Linked DNA regions of Struthio camelus. The protein of the gene in region 1 purifies or fractionates together with the protein of each later gene. This does not show direct contact. Links are inferred from orthologs where the notes say so. Each region holds a gene or a part of one and is shown in the gene's direction. Other genes may lie near its edges.

Region 1 (3,738 bases):
AGGCACGGCCCAGTCCCGTCCGTCTGTCCGTCCGTCTGTCCGTCCGTCTGTCTGTCCGTCTGTCTGTCTGTCTGTCCGTCTATCTCTCCGTCCGTCCGTCTGTCTGTCCGTCCGTCTGTCCGTCTGTCTGTCCGTCCGTCTGTCCGTCTGTCTGTCTGTCTGTCCGTCTATCTCTCCGTCCGTCCGTCTGTCTGTCCGTCCGTCTGTCCGTCTGTCTGTCCGTCCGTCTGTCCGTCTGTCTGTCTGTCTGTCCGTCTATCTCTCCGTCCGTCCGTCTGGCTGGCCGTCCGTCTGTCCGTCTGTCTGTCCGTCCGTCCGTCCGTCTGTCTGTCTGTCTGTCCGTCCGTCTGTCCGTCTATCTGTCCGTCCGTCTGTCTGTCTGTCTGTCCGTCCGTCTGTCCATCTCTCTGCTCTGGCTCCCCGTCTCCGCCCCGGCGCCCTGCTGGGAAGGAGGCGGGGGGGGGCGCTGGCAGGGTGCCCGGGTACGGCTGTGGGGAGCGGGGTGGGGGGGTGGGGGGGAGGCATGTTTGGGGTGTGTGGATAACCTGTCCCCCCCCTCCCTCCCCTCGAGTTTGGGGAGGGGCTCGTTGTGGCGGTGCCTCGTTTTGGGGGTGTCCCTGTGGAGGGGGGGTCTCGTTTTAGGGGTACCTCTCTGGGGGGGGCTCGTTTTGGGGGTCCCGTTTTCGGGGTGCCCCTGTGTGTGGGGGGGGTCCCGTTTTGGGGGTCCCGTGTTGGGGGGGCCCCTGTGGGGGGGGCCTTTGGGGGGTGTGGTGCCCCGTACTGACGTCACCACCCCCCCGGCCGCCGCGGTGACGTCACGGGGCTGACCCCCCGCCGCCAGCCAATGGGGGCAGGGCTGCCCGCCCGCCCGCCCGGCAGCGGCGCCCCCGCCCTGCCGGAGTCCGCCCGCTCTCTATGGTGGCAGGTGAGGGAGCGCCGCAGGTGAGGCCGCAGGGAGCGGCTAGTCTAGCCCCCGCCTCCCCGACATCTCTATGGCGGGGGGCGGCGAGGAAAGGCGCGGGGGCGCCCCGTCCTCTCTAGCCGCAGTCCTCCGCGCTGTCCATGGTCCCGGCCCGCGCGGGCAGCGCGAGGTCCTCCCCCGCCCCGACGGTGGCGCCTAGAGCGGCCGCGCCGCCGCGCCTCTCTATGGCGGAAGTGGGGGCTGGTTCCGGCGGCGGCGGCGGCGGCGGCTGGCGGGGGGGGGGGGAGGAGGAGGAGGCTCCGCGCGAGGTTCGTGTTGCGCAGGCGGGAAAAGTGGCCGCGGTGCGGGGGGGGGGGGGGGGGGGGGGGACAAGGGGCCGGGATGGGGGGGGCAGGGGCCTTGGGGGGGGTACGGGGGTTGGGGGGCCCGGGAGGCGGGTCTGGGGGTGGGGGGGGGGGCTAGGGGCGGCGGAGCTCGGTGGGGGGGAGGGGCCCGGGGGGGGTACGGGGGGCCCGGGAGGCGGGTGGGAGGGGAAGGTTTTTTGGGGGGGGGGGGAACCTGAGGGCAGGGTTGTGCCTCTGGGGCATTTTGGGGCGCGGGGCAGAGGGAGGCGGTTTGGGGTGGCAGGGGACGGAGGGAGGGGCAGGGGAAGGCCCGCGGGGGGGCGAGGGGGTGGGAGTTTGGGGCCGGAAGGGCTGGCGGGGGCTCGGGCGGCTTGGAGGGAGCTTCAGAGGTGTTGGCGGGTGCTGGGGGAAGGGAGAACAGGCCAGGAGAGTTGGGGGGTTGTCCGGTCGCCCCGTGGCAGCTCCCGCTGGACTGTGCGTCCCCCCCCCCCCCCCCAAAATGGGTCAGGCAGCTTGCCCAGGGACCGGGGGGTCGGACGCGGGGGTGTAGGCAAGGCTAGCTGGGGTTGGGGGGCGGGAGCAGGTGGAGAGGGACAGCTCTGGGGGTGGGGGTGCCGGGAGCGAGCCTCGTTCCTCAGCTTTTCGGCTCTCTGTGCTCCCGTCTGTCTGGACCGCGTGAGCTTCTCCTCGGCAGAGGAGCCTTTCTTGTCCCGAGGGGTTCGAACTCAAGGTGTCTCCTTGCCGTGCTCTGCTCACCCTCTTCTCCTCCCCCAGCGCTTCGTTGTTCAGACGTTGTCCTCGCCTGCCACCCGACCAGGGCATGCCGGGCTGAGGAGGGAAGTGAAAGACTCGCTGTTCTCGGCGTCCTCCCTCTCTGAAAATCCAGGCGCCGCAGCTTTCTCGGCCCCGAAGCCGCCATGGCCGACACGCTGGAGTTCAACGAGATATACCAGGAGGTCAAGGGATCCATGGTGAGAGCGCTGGGCAGCAGTCTGCCCGGGAAGGGCTCCCTGCGGTTGTGGCAGGAGTGTCTTGCAGGGCCACACGCTCGCCAAAGCTTTGCGTTGCTTGCTGCGTCTCTGGGGCCGGAGACGAGCAGGTGACACGTCAATGCGAGATGTGGCCTCGTAGATGTAACGCTTCAAACGCTTCAGGCGCTTCGCTGTGCACTGGGGTGTGGGCCCCTACGTCTCTTTCGCTGCCTTGTCCTGGCAGAGAGCGCTTGGCGGATCTCGACCGGAAACCAGAGCGGCGGCGCCTCGTTTCCAGGGCTGAAGTGTTTTGGAGCCCCCATCAATAGGGGCTTTTAGCGCCTGCCTGTTGTGCAGCTAGCGAGGTTGTGGTTGGGAACGCTTCCAGGAGCAGGGGTGCCACTGGTAAATGCTGTAGCTACTTTGAGAGGCGTGCGCGTTGTACATTAACCCGTGCAAAGAGCACGTGGAGGACTAAAGCCGGGGAGGTGTTGAAGGGAGTCCTCTTGTTTCACCTAGAAGGATTGGGCAGCCGTCTGTTCCGTGCCAAGGGAGGCAGTTCCCTGCTCCAGGGCCTGAGGGCTGTGTCTCCCTTGGGCTGCCCCCCTCTCCGCGGGTGTGAGTGCGGGGTGAGCTGTGCCCCGCCTCACGCCCGCCTCTCCCGTCAGAACGATGGTCGGCTGCGCCTGAGCCGCCAGGGCGTGATCTTCAAGAACAGCAAGACGGGGAAGGTGGACAACATCCAGGCGTCGGAGCTGGCGGAGGGCGTGTGGCGACGCGTGGCGCTCGGTCACGGCCTCAAGCTGCTCACCAAGAACGGCCACGTCTACAAATACGATGGTTTCCGGGAATCGGTGAGCCCCCAAGCCCCGTTGTCTCTGACCTCTCCTTGTCTCTGACTGATGGCTGAGCCGTGCTGCGTGCATGCCCACACATGCACTGCACAAGCCCTTCAAAACATGGAGTGCGCTTTTTTTTTTTCTCTTCCCTAAAACTGTCCCTTTTCTTGTGGGCTTGTTCTGCAGCCTCTTTGCTTGTTCCGTATCTAGCTTTGCTGCTTGTGAGCCTTGCAGTGCCAATCTCCTTCCTCTTAAGAACAACTCTGACCCCTGTTTTTCTTGCTCCTCCTTTTGTGTGTGGGACTCTGTCCTGGTTATGCGTTCTGGGCAGTGCCCATGAGCACCTGGTAGCTTCTGACAGACACTCACTGTTTTTTTCCTGCTTCTCACCCTGGCCCAGGAGTTTGACAAGCTCTCAGATTTCTTCAAGGCCCACTACCGCCTGGAACTGGCGGAGAAGGACCTGTGCGTGAAGGGTTGGAACTGGGGGACGGTGAGGTTTGGAGGTGAGTTGTGGCGAGCTAGGAACAGCCCAGTGACTCTGGGCTACTGCAGAAAGGGGATCTGTGCTGGGTGCAGACAGGACCTCCCATGCCAAGGTGGTGGAGCTAGGGCGGTATCCAGTAGCTGGGGACAGTTTCCCGTTCCACCAGCACGGTTGT
Region 2 (3,738 bases), on another chromosome or scaffold:
GCGGGGGGTCGGGGCGAGGCAGGGGACGGGGGATGCGAGGGGGGGGCCGGGGGGTGCGGAAGTTGCGGGGGGTCGGGGCGAGGCAGGGGACGGGGGATGCGAGGGGGGGCCGGGGGGTGCGGAAGTTGCGGGGGGTCGGGGCGAGGCAGGGGACGGGGGATGCGAGGGGGGGGCCGGGGGTGCGGGGGGTGCGGGGGGTCGGGGCGAGGCAGGGGACGGGGGATGCGAGGGGGGGGCCGGGGGGTGCGGGGGGTGCGGGGGGTCGGGGCGAGGCAGGGGACGGGGATGCGGGGGGGGGCCGGGGGGTGCGGAAGTTGCGGGGGGTCGGGGCGAGGCAGGGGACGGGGGATGCGAGGGGGGGGCCGGGGGTGCGGGGGGTGCGGGGGGTCGGGGCGAGGCAGGGGACGGGGCTGCGGGGGGGGGGCTGGGGGGGGCCGGGGGGTGCGGGGGTCGGGGCGAGGCAGGGGACGGGGATGCGGGGGGGGGCCGGGGGGTGCGGGGGGGTGCGGGGGTCGGGTCGAGGCAGGGGACGGGGCTGCGGGGGGGGGCCGGGCGGTGCGGGGGGTGCGGGGGGTCGGGGCGAGGCAGGGGACGGGGGATGCGGGGGGGGGGGCCGGGCGGTGCGGGGGGGTGAGGGGGGTCGGGGCGAGGCAGGGGACGGGGCTGCGGGGGGGGGGCCGGGCGGTGCGGGGGGTGCGGGGGTCGGGGCGAGGCAGGGGACGGGGGATGCGGGGGGGGGGGCCGGGCGGTGCGGGGGGGTGCGGGGGGTCGGGGCGAGGCAGGGGACGGGGCTGCGGGGGGGGGGCCGGGCGGTGCGGGGGGGTGCGGGGGTCGGGGCGAGGCAGGGGACGGGGCTGCGGGGGGGGGCCGGGGGCAGCCCCGGGGCCTGCGATGGGCGGGTGTGACCGGGGGCTCGGCGGTCCGCGGCGGGGGCGGTGCGGGGGGGCGGCGCGGCGCGGGGCGGCCGTTGGCGCCGGGCGGCGGCCAGGGCGCGGCGCGTCCTCCGCGCCGCCGGGGGCGCTGCGCGGCGGGCGGCGCGGCGGCGGGGCGGGCGGCCGCCTCTCGCGGCGGGCGGCGCGGCGGCGGCGCGGCTGCATCGGCGCCTTTTCCGGGTTGGCTGCGCCGCGCTCGGGGCCGGCCCAGGCTGCAGCGCCGCCGCCGCCGGGCACCGGCAGCGGCCTCGGGCCTCGCCACAGCTCCGCGCGGGCCCCGCGCCCGCCCGCCTGCCCGCCCCCGGGGCCGGCCCCCGCCCTCCCGGCCTGGCCCTGCCGCCCCCCGCCGCCGCCCTCCTGCGCGCCGCGCCCCGCCTCGCCGGCCTCCCGCGCCGGCCCCGCGCCCTCCTCCTCCTCCTGCAGCCGCCGCCGCCCGGCGCCGCCATGCCCGGCCCGGCCGCCGGCAGCCGGGCGCGGGTGTACGCCGAGGTGAACAGCCTGAGGAGCCGCGAGTACTGGGACTACGAGGCGCACGTCCCGAGCTGGGGGTAAAGCGCCCCGCGGGGACCCCCCTTCCCCGGGCCGCCGCCGGCCCCCTCGCCCGGCCCGCCGGCGGCTGGGGGCGGCCGGCCGCCCCTCCGCCCTGCAGGCCCCTGCCCGAGGGGAGGCGCCCAGCCAGCTCCCCCCCCTCCCCCGCCACTTTTCGGCGTCCCCATGGGTCCTCCCCCGCGGGGAAGCGGGCGGCTGCGGGAATGGCCTGGGGGAGGGGGATCCCCCCTTCCCCCCATCCCAGCCTGGTGCCCTGTCAGTTATTTTCCTCTCCCTCTGCTCTCTTTTATTTTTTTTTGGTGCCTGCAGCAATCAGGATGACTACCAGCTGGTTCGCAAGCTTGGCCGGGGAAAGTACAGTGAGGTCTTCGAGGCCATCAACATCACCAACAACGAGAGGGTAGTTGTGAAGATCCTCAAGGTGAGCGCCTCGCGGGTGGTTGCAGGGGCTCATGGTGGCAGTGGCCCTCGTTTCATTTTTGAGCTGGGAATAAGGAGGAAAGAAGCTGTGCTAGGGCCAAAAGACTGTTAGGTCTTGTCCTGCACCCCAAAACTCTTGTTCTTTGCTTTGTGGACACTTGAGTGCTGGACTGTATTTTGGGAAAGGGATTTAGTGTCCTGTGTGCTGTAGTGATGTTTCAATGTCTCCACCCCTTCTGTGCAGAGTAGCTGGAGCCTGCTCCAGGCCGAGAGCTCCTCGGGAGGAGGAGTGCTGTGAGTCCTGACACTTGAACAGTGTTGCATGTGCTGCCTGCATTTGGTAAATCATATCTGGCAATGTCTGTCTAAAACATTGCAAGGACTGCCATGTCAACAGGAATATGAAGCCCAGGGGGGAATCTTTTTGTTAACCTTTAGACAGCTGGCGTGCGGCGTTTTCAGGGTTCAGGCCGCAGGATGCTCAGCGGTCAGGCTTTAGTAAAGCAAACAAAATCTTAGATTTGGCCCTTTGAAGGATCTGCTCCATGGAAGAGAACTTCACTGTGGTCAGGTCAAAAATACTGTGGAAACTTGAGGAGGCTGAAGCAGACCATTTGACAGTTAGCAGCATTAGTGATATGCCCTGGTGTGTTGATTGTATAGAGGTTGGGGTGTGGGGATCTTCTTGCAAAAGTAACCGGTTGCAGTTTGGAACGACTAAATGCACTGGATTAGCCTCTGTAGGGCACACCTTACTGCGTTTGATGCTGAAGCAGTGTGCTTACAGAGAGGCGTGGTAGCTGTGTTTGCAGAAGTCTGTGATGGTGGTCTGGGGGTGAGGATGGTGGGGGGGAGAATCGAAAAACAGAAACAAAAGGTGCTTTTGGCTTTGGTTTGGCTGATGCTTGTGGCTGTTGTTTGTAGAATCAGCAACGCTTCTTACTTGTTCCTGAAGAGCATGTGGGAGCTAGTTTCTGATCACAGGCATACTAAGAATTTGGGCTCATGTTGATCTGCAGTGTGCAGGGAGGGTTCAGAGCTTGGAAAGTTGTCCTTGCAGCCGCTAAGGCTAGTAACTACGTAGGATACGTGTCTCTGCTCCAGGTCATAGCCTTGAGGCTAGGAGGAGTTCGCTAGATCTGATCTGATAGTGTGGCTAGCTGGCTAGTTTTGTCTTTGCTCCTCTCCCCACTCATCCACTATTCCTGCTTTCTTGGGATCCTTCTTGGTTTCCCAGAGAACTTGTCATAGGCTGCTGGGTCACAGCTCCTAGGCAAGGCATGACTTCCTGTCAGAGGAGTAAACTGTATCCCTGCCTTGACTGTGGCTAGGTGAGCCATTAGGGAGAGCCCCTGTGGCCGAGTCCTGGCATAAAGGCAGAGCAGTGAGGCTTCTGTGTCCTTGCTGAGTTCTTCTGGCATACTGCTCAGGCTTCCCCCTCCTTTAGATGTTTTACATAAGGTGGTGTGGGTTTTCTTTGTTTGTTTGTTTTTTAGGTAGGGGCAGGCAGGAGTTTCTCTTTTGAGAGAGAGTAGTCAGAGGTAGCCAGTGTAGGGTTGTATGTTACAGCAAGATGGCTTGTGGTTAGGCTGAGGAAACTGTGCGCTTCTGTGTGCTGCTCTAGAGCCCCGATGGTCTCTCCAGGAGTGCTATGGTTGGTTGAGACTGTAGATCTTGCCCCACATAAAAAGGTGCCACTAGGCTTCAGGACTGCAGAGAAAGTCTTTGAGAAATCTTCTTCCTTGCCTGTCCCCAGCCTAAAGGGCCTGCCCTGGAGCAATGCTCCTCTCGCTGTGGCAGCTGAGCTCTGTCGTCTTTAGGGTGCCTGTCAGCACTG
Region 3 (3,738 bases), on another chromosome or scaffold:
ACGTAGGGACATATTTTTGGTATGGTTTGCATGACAAAGTATAGATTGTATTACAGGATGGATGTTAGCAGTAAGGCCGCCGCTAATATATTGGGAATCTGTGTCTTACAGCAGCGGGCCAGTGCCACTGTGCGCAATGGGCATGTGTACCAAAAGAAGTGGGATGGCAGCGTAGAATGTTTTTATCTAAAGAGGGATGAGTATAATCTTTGACACCTGTGTATTTATTGGGTGAGACGGACAGTAGGGTGCATCTGCCTTTATTGAGATTAATAGTGTTAATAAAGATGCTAAATTGGGGATAGGTAATATTATGGCATGTGATTTTGTGTAATGAAAAATTAATGATATTGTTGCATGTGCATAATTGGGGTGTATTTATTTTTATGGACTATTCATGTCAATATAACGTGATGATTAGTTTGCTGGTGGAGGGCACTAGCAGGGAGCGGTGTGTTGCTCTATAAAACGGCTATGTCTCGAGCAGGAGGGAGGAACAGCACATATTGGAGGTTTTCTCTGTATCCCTGGGGTAGGAATAGTTTTAAAGGTACCGGCGTTTATGACAGGCGGATGCATTGTGTGTGTGGTCAGGAGGTGACAGGAGTCACTGTGGGATTGACACACAAGCTGCTGATGGTGGCTGGTGATTGCGCTGTAGAGCGCCGTGGACTACTGGTGGGTACCGCGAAGGGGCCCGCAGCGCTGTTGGGTGCACGCGACAGAGCGGAGAGTGCCAGCGTGCTATGGGGCACCGTGGGCCCGATTCTGGCAGGTGCGTGAAGGAGGAGGTGGAAACGCGATACAAACGCCATACGTGGCTCTCTCGGGATGCCTGCCTCTGCCTATGGAGAGAAGGGATGACCAGGCACCCAGGGGTGCGCGTGGGAAGGACCTCCTGGGTGCTGCAGAGCCGGGCGCCGGACAGGCAGAGGGAGCAGCGCTGCACCAGGGCAGGCGCGCAGCGAGCTCGGTGGGGCGCTCAGTAGTCCACTATCAAGGGTCGGGCGAGAAGCGTGAGCGTGGCGGCCACGGTTCCCGCGGACGGCGACGCCTGGCTTCGGCTCCCGCCCAGCACCAGCGAAGCCTGCCCTCCACGCTCAGGGGTGAGCGGGGCGGTGGGCGCAGGGGGCCCGCCGGGGCAGTGGCAGCCGGCACCAGGGTCCTGTTGCTGCCCCGGCGGCTGCCTCCGAGGGGGAGGGTGGTGCCCGCCGTGGGGCCTGTGGAGCCCGTGTGGCCGGGAGGCACGCAGGGGCCGGGCGGCGGTGCCAGAGCGCTACAGTGGCGCGGCTGGCCGGGCGCCCCGGGGCCGTTAGGGGCCGCGCGGAGGGGACGGGGCCCCGCGGCGGGAAAGGCCCCCGAGGGCGGCGGCGGCGGGCGGGGCGGGGCGGGGGCCGCGGGTGGGCTGGGGGCGGCGGCGGCGCGGTGGGGAGGGTGGCTGGGAGTATTATGGGATGTCTGGCTGGACGGTGGCTCCCGGCGACTATTATGGGATGCCTGCCTGAGCGCGGGGGGGTGGGGTGGGGGTGTGACTATTATGGGATGTGCGCCTGGGGTATGACTATTATGGGATGTGCTGGGGGTTATTGCAGTGTGCGGGAGGCGGGGGGGGGGCCGACCAGGGGACGTGCCTATTATGGGATGGCAGGCCGGGCAGCGGGGGCGCGGGGTGAGGGGGGCGCGCGCGGGGGGCTGGTAGGGGACGAGTATTATGGGATGCCTGAGTGAAGGGGTTAGAGTGTGGGGAGTATTATGGGATGTTTCTCGGAGGGACGGTTGTATTATGGGATGTTCCTGCTGGGAGGGGTTATTATTATGGGATGCCGGGCCGGGCAGTGAGTGGGAAGTTCTGAGGGGAGGGCGAGTATTATGGGATGTCTCAGTTGGGGGGGTTGCCAGGGAGACGGGGGCGGGGCCCGTTGCTGGGGTCCCGGGGCATATTATGGGATGGAGGCGGGAGTGGGGCGGGGCCTGGCTGGGTTTTTTCCCCTTTAAGAGGCGGTGCCGGGGCCGGAGCCATTTTCCCTTCAGCAGCGGCGGCGGCGGCGAGCGAGCGAGCAGAGCTGGGGTCTTGAGCCGGGTGAGGAGCTGGGAGGGGGCGGGTAGAGCTTTCCGCCGCTGCTTGGGGTGTCTCTGGCTGCGGGCGCCCCTACGCGCCGTGGGCCGCCAGACGCAGCTCCCTCGGGGCTGCGCTGTCCTCCTGCTCGGGCGACCGCAGGACCGCGGCGACACAGCACCGGCGAGCAGCCGCCCCGCCGGTGCCCGCTGCCCCGGCCGCTGCCAGCCGCTCGGCTCCCGGCCCGGCGCCCGTCCCTGGGGAGAAGCGGCCCCTCGCCGCATGCGAGCCGGACTTCCCCGGCCCCGCCCCGCGCCCCCGCCCGGGCGACCGTGCCCCGCCGCGACGCTGCCCCCCCTCCCCCCCCCCCCCGCCCGCCTGCCACCCCCGCCCTGCGCCGCGCAGCCCCGCTCCGGGCGGGGGCGCGGGAGCGGCGGGCAGCGGAGCGGGGCTGCCGGCGCCGCCGAGCCGGTCCTGCCTTTTGTGCGCGCCCGCGGCGCGCGATCGCCCCGGTGGCAGCGGGCTGCAGGGACCCGAGGAGGAGGGGGAGGCTGCTGCTCGCCTGCCTCTCCGGCCGTGGTGGCTGCAGCCCGGGGCTGGCGCGCCAAGTTTGTGCAGGCGAGTTGGGGACTCCCGGCAGCACTTGTTCCGCCGCTGTCCGCCGTACCGGTCCCGGGCTCAGCCCCGACCGCCGCGGTGGCTGTGTGGCTCGCTGACAGCGCCCTGATTCAAGGTCTCCTTTGGAAAATCCGCCTCCCCTTCTTGCCTCTCCTTCTCCCAGTCCAAAGTAGAAATAACCTAGGGCGCACGCATTCTGGTCTGGCCCCTGATTGCAGGGGAAAGGAAAATTTCCCATAGGCTAGCTGTTTTGGCTTCCTTGCAAGGGATGAGTCGCTGACTCAGTTTACTATCTAGTGTCTTCAGAGTCTACTTCATCACAACTTTAAGCTGATACCTGCTGCCAGTGTTTCTATTATCTGTAGGCTCCAAATCCAGTAAAGCTGCCGTCCAAGCTTTCTCACAGATCTCCTTGTTAGCACTATTGCTTGGGAAACAGGAGTTCAGGTGCACTATAACTTTCTCCTTTCCTTTTCAATAAAGTACTGGCTTGACTGGCAGGAAGACACCTTGTATGAGCCTGGGCCTCCACCAGTTTGGAGGACATGGCATCGGGCATTGGATCTCCATCCCCGTGCTCAGGGGGCAGTGATGATGATGACATGGAGATTCTGTTGAACAACGCTATCTCCCAGCATCAAGGTACAGAGCCTACGGGGCATGAGTGTGTGAACTGGGGAGATGCTATTTTCATGCTGAATATGTGAGAGAGATGAAGATGATGTGCAAGGCAATGTTGTACTTTGCTAGGAGTCATGCATGTGCTTTTTTTTTTTTTTTTCAGTATGTGAGTCCTAGCTAGGATTAGCTCAAAATGAGGCTCACAGCTTTTAGTCAGGTGGAGCTGACTTTGTTCCAAGCCATTGCAGGTTGTCAGGGGCCTGTGCTTTGAGGAGGTATAAGGGGGTGGAGGCAGAGGGGTGGATTCTGACAGGGCACTGAAATGCCTGCAAGTTTCATGTTTCATGAATGGGGAGGGGGAAGAGGGGCAGTATGTGAAAGGGCAGGGTGTCTGACTTTCTTTCATCTGGGAACTCAGACCTGCTGACGTCCAGAGCAAACTG

Evidence for each region. Proteins that work in one complex are often made in the same cells at the same time.
Region 2: the proteins of SSRP1 (region 1) and CSNK2A2 purify together in Homo sapiens (affinity purification with western blotting; 3 studies listed by BioGRID and IntAct, with this or other methods). This does not show direct contact. The link is inferred for Struthio camelus from reciprocal best matches to the Homo sapiens genes SSRP1 and CSNK2A2.
Region 3: the proteins of SSRP1 (region 1) and CHD4 purify together in Homo sapiens (affinity purification with mass spectrometry; 3 studies listed by BioGRID and IntAct, with this or other methods). This does not show direct contact. The link is inferred for Struthio camelus from reciprocal best matches to the Homo sapiens genes SSRP1 and CHD4.

Annotation. Positions count from the first base shown.
Region 1 is NC_090946.1:7,555,152-7,558,889, forward strand, and holds the start of SSRP1 (FACT complex subunit SSRP1), read left to right. Parts: upstream 1-1,146; 5' UTR 1,147-1,230; intron 1,231-2,040; 5' UTR 2,041-2,183; coding exon 2,184-2,237; intron 2,238-2,905; coding exon 2,906-3,091; intron 3,092-3,476; coding exon 3,477-3,582; intron 3,583-3,738. UniProt on the Homo sapiens protein: Component of the FACT complex, a general chromatin factor that acts to reorganize nucleosomes. The FACT complex is involved in multiple processes that require DNA as a template such as mRNA elongation, DNA replication and DNA repair.
Region 2 is NC_090951.1:30,371,296-30,375,033, reverse strand, and holds the start of CSNK2A2 (casein kinase II subunit alpha'), read left to right. Parts: upstream 1-1,297; 5' UTR 1,298-1,376; coding exon 1,377-1,480; intron 1,481-1,790; coding exon 1,791-1,902; intron 1,903-3,738.
Region 3 is NC_090942.1:90,899,387-90,903,124, forward strand, and holds the start of CHD4 (chromodomain-helicase-DNA-binding protein 4), read left to right. Parts: upstream 1-837; 5' UTR 838-1,106; intron 1,107-1,996; 5' UTR 1,997-2,080; intron 2,081-3,157; 5' UTR 3,158-3,219; coding exon 3,220-3,316; intron 3,317-3,738. UniProt on the Homo sapiens protein: ATP-dependent chromatin-remodeling factor that binds and distorts nucleosomal DNA. Acts as a component of the histone deacetylase NuRD complex which participates in the remodeling of chromatin.